2 linked regions of the Cricetulus griseus genome follow. The protein of the gene in region 1 purifies or fractionates together with the protein of each later gene. This does not show direct contact. Links are inferred from orthologs where the notes say so. Each region holds a gene or a part of one and is shown in the gene's direction. Other genes may lie near its edges.

The links. The genes of interacting proteins can lie anywhere in the genome.
Region 2: the proteins of Elavl1 (region 1) and Igf2bp1 purify together in Homo sapiens (co-immunoprecipitation; 3 studies listed by BioGRID and IntAct, with this or other methods). This does not show direct contact. The link is inferred for Cricetulus griseus from reciprocal best matches to the Homo sapiens genes ELAVL1 and IGF2BP1.

What each region holds. Positions count from the first base shown.
Region 1 is NC_048597.1:89,140,385-89,144,135, reverse strand, and holds the start of Elavl1 (ELAV-like protein 1), read left to right. Parts: upstream 1-1,496; 5' UTR 1,497-1,658; intron 1,659-3,751. UniProt on the Homo sapiens protein: RNA-binding protein that binds to the 3'-UTR region of mRNAs and increases their stability.
Region 2 is NC_048600.1:109,104,714-109,108,364, reverse strand, and holds part of Igf2bp1 (insulin-like growth factor 2 mRNA-binding protein 1), read left to right. Parts: intron 1-1,327; coding exon 1,328-1,450; intron 1,451-1,746; coding exon 1,747-1,866; intron 1,867-2,538; coding exon 2,539-2,613; intron 2,614-3,552; coding exon 3,553-3,651. UniProt on the Homo sapiens protein: RNA-binding factor that recruits target transcripts to cytoplasmic protein-RNA complexes (mRNPs). This transcript 'caging' into mRNPs allows mRNA transport and transient storage.

The sequences.
Region 1 (3,751 bases):
TGGAAGGCGAGAACTGACTCCTGCAAGCTATCCTTTGATTTCTACATATATGTTCATACAAAGACATACATACAGAATATATTAAAATATAATACAGTTTTCAAATTTCATAAAACTATCTTTAAAAGGTTACATGGCCAGCTGTGGTGTTGCAGGCCTGTAATCCTAGAATTTGAGAGACGGAAGCAGAAGGACCATTTCACCAACATCCTTAGCTACATATCGAGTTGAAGACCAACCTGGGTCACATGAGACCCTGTCTCAAAAACATACACATCACCTCTAAATCCAGCACTCAGGAAGCAGAGGCAGGCAGATCTCTGCGAGGCAAAATCAGTCTGGTTCACAGTTCCAAGCCAGGGCTATTTAGGAAGACCCTGACTAAAAGAAAACACGCAAAAAAAAAAAAAAAAAAAAAAAAAAGACACGAGAGACAGAGAGAACTTTTTTTTGGAGGGGAGGTTGTTTTCGAGACAGGGTTTCTCTATGTAGCTTTGGAGCCTATCCTGGCACTCGCTCTGGAGACCAAGCTGGCCTCGAACTGAGAGATCCACCTGCCTCTGCCTCCTGAGTGCTGGGATAAAAGGCGTGCGCCACCAACGCCCGGCTCAAAGAGAACTTTTTTAATCATGCAATTTGCATATACTTTTCTGATAGCACTAGCGCACAACAGCAGCCCCCAAAGGGACAGGCAGTTGTTTTCTAATCACTGCCTGACTGGCTGACACATAGTATATACTTAAAATTTCAAAGAACGGGGACTGGCAAGATAGCTCAGTAATTAAGAGCACTGACTGCTCTTCCAGAGGACCCTAGTTCAGTTCCCAACGCCCACATAGCAGCTAACAACAGTCCAGAGGAACCGGCATTCTCTTTGACCTCCGTAAGCACTGCGCGCATGTGGTGCACAGACATACATGCAGGCAGAAACCCACCCATACACTTGAAAAACAAAAAACTTAAAACCAATAAATTTCAACGTTAGAGCCTTAGGGAATGCCATGCTGACCACATCCCTTAATTCACTAGTAAGAAAACTGAGGCCAGGCGAAGTGACGTCAACCGGTGCTCAACCTCAGGCGGAACCGAAACGTCGGTAGGAACCGGGATTCGAACCAGGGATTCTACCCTCCTAGTCTGGGCTCCCGATGACCACACTGCTTACTGTGGGCGTAGGCGGCTGCACAGCCCGTCAGATGAGGACCACACGGCATGCGTTCCTCAAGGAGAGCCATTCCTCGGCCTCCGCTCCAGTCGGCGTCTGCTGCGCGCCTGGCCCCAGCTAGCCCCTTCCACGGCCATCGCTGGCCACTCCGAGTCTCCACCGGCCGCTTTAGCCCTTCGCAGGCGGCGCCGACAGGAAGTCCTGCCTCCGCCGCACGCACCAGAGTACCTCGACAGCCATACTAGCCAATGAGCGCAGGCTCTTCGAAGACGCCGACCAATAGACGAGCGCGCTGAGAAGGGGCGTGTCTGGCCGCGGGGCCGGGGAGCGGGTCGTGCGCGCTGAGGAGGAGCCGCCGCCGTCGCCGCCGCTGCCGCCGCCGTCGCCGTCGCCGCTCTGCCGCCTCCACCACCGCTACCGAGGCCGTGCGGAGCCGTTATCGCCGCGCCGCCCGCCCCGGAGCAGAGCCCCGGGCCTTCCCGCCCGTGTTCAGGTGAGGCCGGGTGGCTTCGGCGACTTCCGAAAGAGTAGGCCGCGCTAGGGCCTGAGCTCGCCTAGCCCCGCGGGCGCCCGCCGGGCCTGCACCGGCCGAAGGCCCCAGGCCGCGCCAGGCCTGGGTACGGAGACGCGCGTGTGGGCCGTGGCTAGGCGAAGGGAAACCGACTCGGTTTGATCCAGGTCGGCGACAAGCCTCCCCCGGGCCAGATTCCTCTCTGGGCTCCCGCGAGAGAGGCGGGAGAAGGACACGGCGTGGGCACGCGCTTTGGGGGGCCGGGCTCCGAGGCTTTGGGGGGCCCTGCATAGTCAGTCTCGGAAGCCCGGTGATCCGGGGGCGGAAGAGAGGAGCGAGGGCCTTGGGCGCCCAGAGGTCACGGCCCACGGACTCGCTCCCTCGGGAAATCCCACAGATTTCTTTTGTGGCCGATTTTCAGGATACACCGCGACGGATCGTGAGGTCCTTTTAGAAGTGTGCAAACCTTTCTTCTGTATGTGTGGAAGTCCTAGAAAATAAAAGGAAACAAATTTTGATCGACATCTCTAACAAAGCTGTTCTCGGGACGTTTGCGTTTGTAAAATAATGTATAAATATTGAAAATATAATTGCACGCAGTTGAACAATGGGAAGTGAAGGAGGGTCTTTTCTCTTGTCTTTCTGCTGCTAAAGCATGTCAAAATGGGTTTTGACACCTACTGTGTGCAGGGCAGGCGGAGAACTTTTTTGCGCTGGACAGAGCTTTCATTATCGAAAGTGTATCCTGTGGGATACCGATGGCCAAGTGCTCTAAAAGGGGCAAGATCCGATGATAGAGAAAGCTCTTCTAACCTCCTTGCTACAGACAGTTAAGGTCAGATAATGGTTGGTTGTGGGGGCCTGGCTGCCCTGTGCATTGTAGGAAGTTGGATGGCATGACTGGCTTCTGCCTACTAAGTATTAGCATCTCTGCCTCCCACTTCTCCCAGTTGTGAAGACCAAAAATAAATTCAAGCGTTGCTAGGGGTCTTTCTTGCTCTCCCCACCACCAAACAGATACACACACAGAGGTGAGAAATCCTTAAATAATCCTTCTAGAAAAGTTCTTCCAGCCCTATCTCTGATGTTCTGTGGGATGCTCCTAAGATTTTCGAGTAGGCTATATTGAACTGCTTGTAAAATAGCAGGATGAAAGTACTGGGCAACCGTAAAGATGTGAGGAAAATCCCAGGATTGTGCATGCCACACATGGAATACATGATATTACAAATAATCAATCACCATGTTTTAAAACTTCAATATCCACTTAAGAGAAGAAAGTAAAGTTTAGCTTAGGATAATCTTGTACGCTCAAGTGGCCAGTGCAGGATTTGAACGCAGGTCCGAGATTCCCCAATGTATTGACACTGAACGTGTGTGTACAAAACTGCTGAGGTCTGGTTTTTAAAATGTTGCGGGGCTGGAGAGATGGCAGACAAGAGCACTTGTTGCTCTTGCAGAGGACCTGTGTGTTCAGTTCCTGGCACCTGAATGATGGCTCACAACCATCAATAACTCCAGTTCTAAGGGATCCCATGCCTTCTTCTGACCTTGCAGGCACCAAGCACAAATACACTTCCCATACATTTGTATAGACAAAACACTCACATATAAATCTAAAGTTATTTTTTAGTGTTGTGACTTGGAGGTCTGTGAAGAAGCTGAGAGAAATAAGAAACATTTCTGTTAGCACTGGTTTGAGGGAAACAAATTTGGATGTGTTCAGGAATAGGTCACAGGGCAACATTAGAAAGGGAGAGATTGAAAAACATACTTTTTCCTGTGCTTGCTCAGTTGCTTCCCACACTTACTGCTTCTCTTCTCTCTGCCTTTGTACACCTGCAGAAGTTGACTTTTGAAGATACAGATCATGCTTCTCCTCATTAGAAGTCTTGGGGTGGGGTGGGGAGTTGTGTTGGGCTGTTCAAATGGCTCTAAAGATTTAAATGAGAAGCCCTTAGTTTGGGGTGACCCTCTACACCCTCTGACCCTGTCTTATCTTGGAAGAAGATCTCTTTCTCATGCTGTGTGGCCCCGTCTCAGAGCACAAATACCACTTGAAGCTGCCTCCAACT
Region 2 (3,651 bases), on another chromosome or scaffold:
GACTTAATTTTTGGTTTGTTGGTAGTGGTCGTGCTGGGATCAAATCCAGGGGCTTGCACATTGTAGGTAAACACTCTGCTGCTGGAAATGGGTAAACTGTATTACTCAACAGGGCTGGTCATCTGGCTCCTAATGTAGGGTTGGGGGCATAATCTTGGGTTTCGTGGATTACTGTATTTTAGCCAATCTGATCTAGATGATGTGATACTCCTCCAGGAAAACTTGTATTGGGGTAGACAGAAAGGCCATAATTTAACTTCTTCTGAGATAAGACTTCAGTGTGTAGGCTAGAACCGAATTCAGTTCTCACTCCTTGGCCTCCAAGTGCCAGGAGGCTACCATACCCAACTCAGGATTTATATTTATTTATTTTTGTGTGTGTGCATATGTGTATGCAGAGGGCAGGGGGACATCAGATGTCCTGCAGTCCTGTTTCTGTCCCCCAAACCCATTGTGCTTAGGCACATGTGTGATCATTTCCATGGGTGCTGGTATTCACACTCAGGCCCTCAGTGCTCTTACCCACTGAACCATCATCCCTCTCCCTACCATCTGATTTTGCTTTTTTGTTTTTGTGTGTGTGTGTGTGTGTGGTTTTTGTTTGTTTGTTTGTTTTTGTTATTTTTTTTTTTTTTCAAGACAGGGTTTCTCTGGCTTTGGAGCCTCTCCTGGCACTCGAGCTGTAACCAGGCTGGTTTCGAAATCAGAGATCCACCTGCCTCTGCCGCCCGAGTGTTGGGATTAAAGGCGTGGGCCACCAATGCCCTGCAGATTTTGCTGGTTTGTTTGAGACAGTGTTTCAGTGTGTAGCCTGGCTAGGCTGGTTTGGAACTTGATAAATAGAGCTAGCCTCTAACTCACAGAGATTAATCAATACTGGAATTTTATTCTCACCATGCCCAACCCCATTTTGATCTTCTAAAGGCAGTTGGGGATGGGATACCTAGCAGAAAGTTTCAGCACTACTGGGGCCCCAGGAATCAAAGGGAAAGTTGTCTCAGCTTCTCACAGAGGGGCATTACATTCTCAGGTTATGGGCCTCTTTTGCTTCCATCAGTGTGATAGAAATAACTAGAGAACCTGCTTAAACATACAGTTTAGTCCAATGAGGAGATCTCCACGGCTCAAGGGAAACCACAACACCAGGCAGATTTTGTACAAAAGCAAATAACTTCTTTGAGGAGCTGGGAGTCCTGCCTCCTCCTGTAGGTTAGCCAGAGCCACATCCTATGGCCCAGCAGCCCCCTCAGCAGGTTGACCCCATACCCTAGGCCACCCCCCTGGAGCCTGTGGGCGCGCTGACCTGAGTCTCTCCTCTCTCCTCCAGCTGCAGTCTCACCTCATCCCTGGTCTCAACCTGGCTGCTGTGGGTCTCTTCCCGGCGTCATCCAGTGCTGTCCCTCCGCCGCCCAGCAGCGTCACTGGGGCTGCTCCCTACAGCTCCTTCATGGTAAGTGGACGGTCTTCTGACTGGGGACCCATGGGAGTCAGAGCTTAGTGCATTGGCAAGATGGTGAGAGAGGCCTGCAGCTAGAGGCCAGCTGCACGAAAGCAGCCCAGCCCGGAAGCACCTGTGGCGTGGGAGCAGCTTCCCACTGATTGTGCTTCCCTTTAGCGGGATGAGAGCTCAAGAGTCCGTGGTAGCCTTCCATGACCTGATGTGTAAGGCAGCAGGATAGAGGGGCTCCTGGGTTCTGCCTCGCCCTACTCCCTGGCCCTTTGGTAAGGAGTCCCTTGTCCTGGCAGCAGGCTCCTGAGCAGGAGATGGTACAGGTGTTCATCCCTGCCCAGGCTGTGGGCGCCATCATCGGCAAGAAGGGGCAACACATCAAACAGCTCTCACGGTTCGCCAGCGCCTCCATCAAGGTGAGTTCTTCCAGGTCTAGTTCTTCACACTTTGGGGAATGAAAGCCCAGTCGCCTGTGGGTGTCTTCACTACTTCTAACTACGTTTCTAGGCTATATGAGAAGCAGTATAAGACAGCAGGCTGAGATGTTATGAAAATAGAATGGACCCAGCCCTGTTCTAAACCAATACCCCCACCACCTGCTGGACTCACTTTGCACGTGTGGGATGTAGGAAGCAGGCAGGGCCTAGGAGTGAGCACTATGTCTGTGCTGGTTCTTACCTCCCTGCATCCAGAATCCAGGAAACCAGTGCTGTTGTCAACTCTATGGGTCCAGGTTGATGGGTTTCATTCTATGGCATTTAAAGCTTTGTGATTCCCTCCCTGACCCCAAGAGAGGTGAAACCTCTACCTTCTCTATGTAGTCACCTCATAAGTCCCTGCCTCTTGGCAGCACCCTGCTAAGAAAGGACCCTCTCTCTGATGGGATGGTGGTGGGGAGCAGTCCTGCTGAGGAGATGTCACAGAGGCAGGTCCCTCATCACAGGTCTGTGTGCATACAGGAACTTGGATTTGAGGCTCTTTGTTCTTCTTCCCTTTCTCAGAATGGACAGAGGAAGGGAATTAGGGGATGGAGATGCCTTCATCTTCCTCTGGAAGCAGCCCCCTCTGACTAACTGTGTACTTTATAGATTGCACCACCGGAAACGCCTGACTCCAAAGTTCGAATGGTTATCATTACTGGACCCCCAGAGGCACAGTTCAAGGTCTGTTCCATATTGCATTTTCACAATGGATACAGGGAGCGGAGGTTGGGAACTTAACACATTCGGGGAAAAGGCTGGGGCGGCTTCTGTTTGCTGTCAGATTTCTGTCACGTCTTCCAGGCTCTACAGATACACAGCTGCGAAGCTGCTTTCAAAGTGCTGCTAAGCTTAATTTCTGTTCATGTCCACTTCCTCCCTCACTTCCTCATGGTCCACACAGGAATGTGAGAAGGAAGGGAATCTGAGGTGTTGGCATTTGATGCCGGCTCCTCTTTATGTCTACATCGCTTCACTTGATCTCTGTGAGGCTGGAGACTGGGTACCGGGTAGCTGTCTAGGCACCCAAGGAGCATCAGTTGCCTCCATTCATGGTTGTCATGCTAGTTATTGCCACATCCTGGAACCTATAAGTAGTACATCCTTTGAAGTGTATATTCATTTCTCTCTTTCAGGAGGGAGGTGGGAAGAGATTAAGGCAGGGTCTCAGTTTGTAACTCTAACTGGCCCAGAACCAGGTCTGCAGACCAGGTTGCCTATGCACTTGTGATTCTCTTGCCTCTGTAATCCTCGGATACTTATTTACTCATGGGTCATAATCTGAGGGTCTCAAGCATTACAGATAATCAGAGAACCGTTGAAGGTCACCCACTAGGGCTTTGCAACCACTTGCCTTAGCTGGCTGGTCCTCCTAGGTAGAGGAGCTAGGGGACTAAAGGCCTTACACTTAGATACACGGCTGCTTTTTATTTTTATTTTGGTTTTTTGAGACAGGGTTTCTCTGTAGCTTTGGAGGCTGTCCTGGAACTAGCTCTTGTAGACCAGGCTGGTCTCAAACTCAGAGATCTGCCTGCCTCTGTCTCCCGAGTGCTGGGATTAAAGGTGTGAGCCACCACCGCCCAACATACATGGCTGCTTTTAACCCTGACTTCTTCTCCCTAGGCTCAGGGAAGAATCTATGGCAAACTAAAAGAAGAGAATTTCTTTGGTCCTAAGGAGGAAGTAAAGCTGGAGACCCACATACGGGTGCCAGCTTCAGCA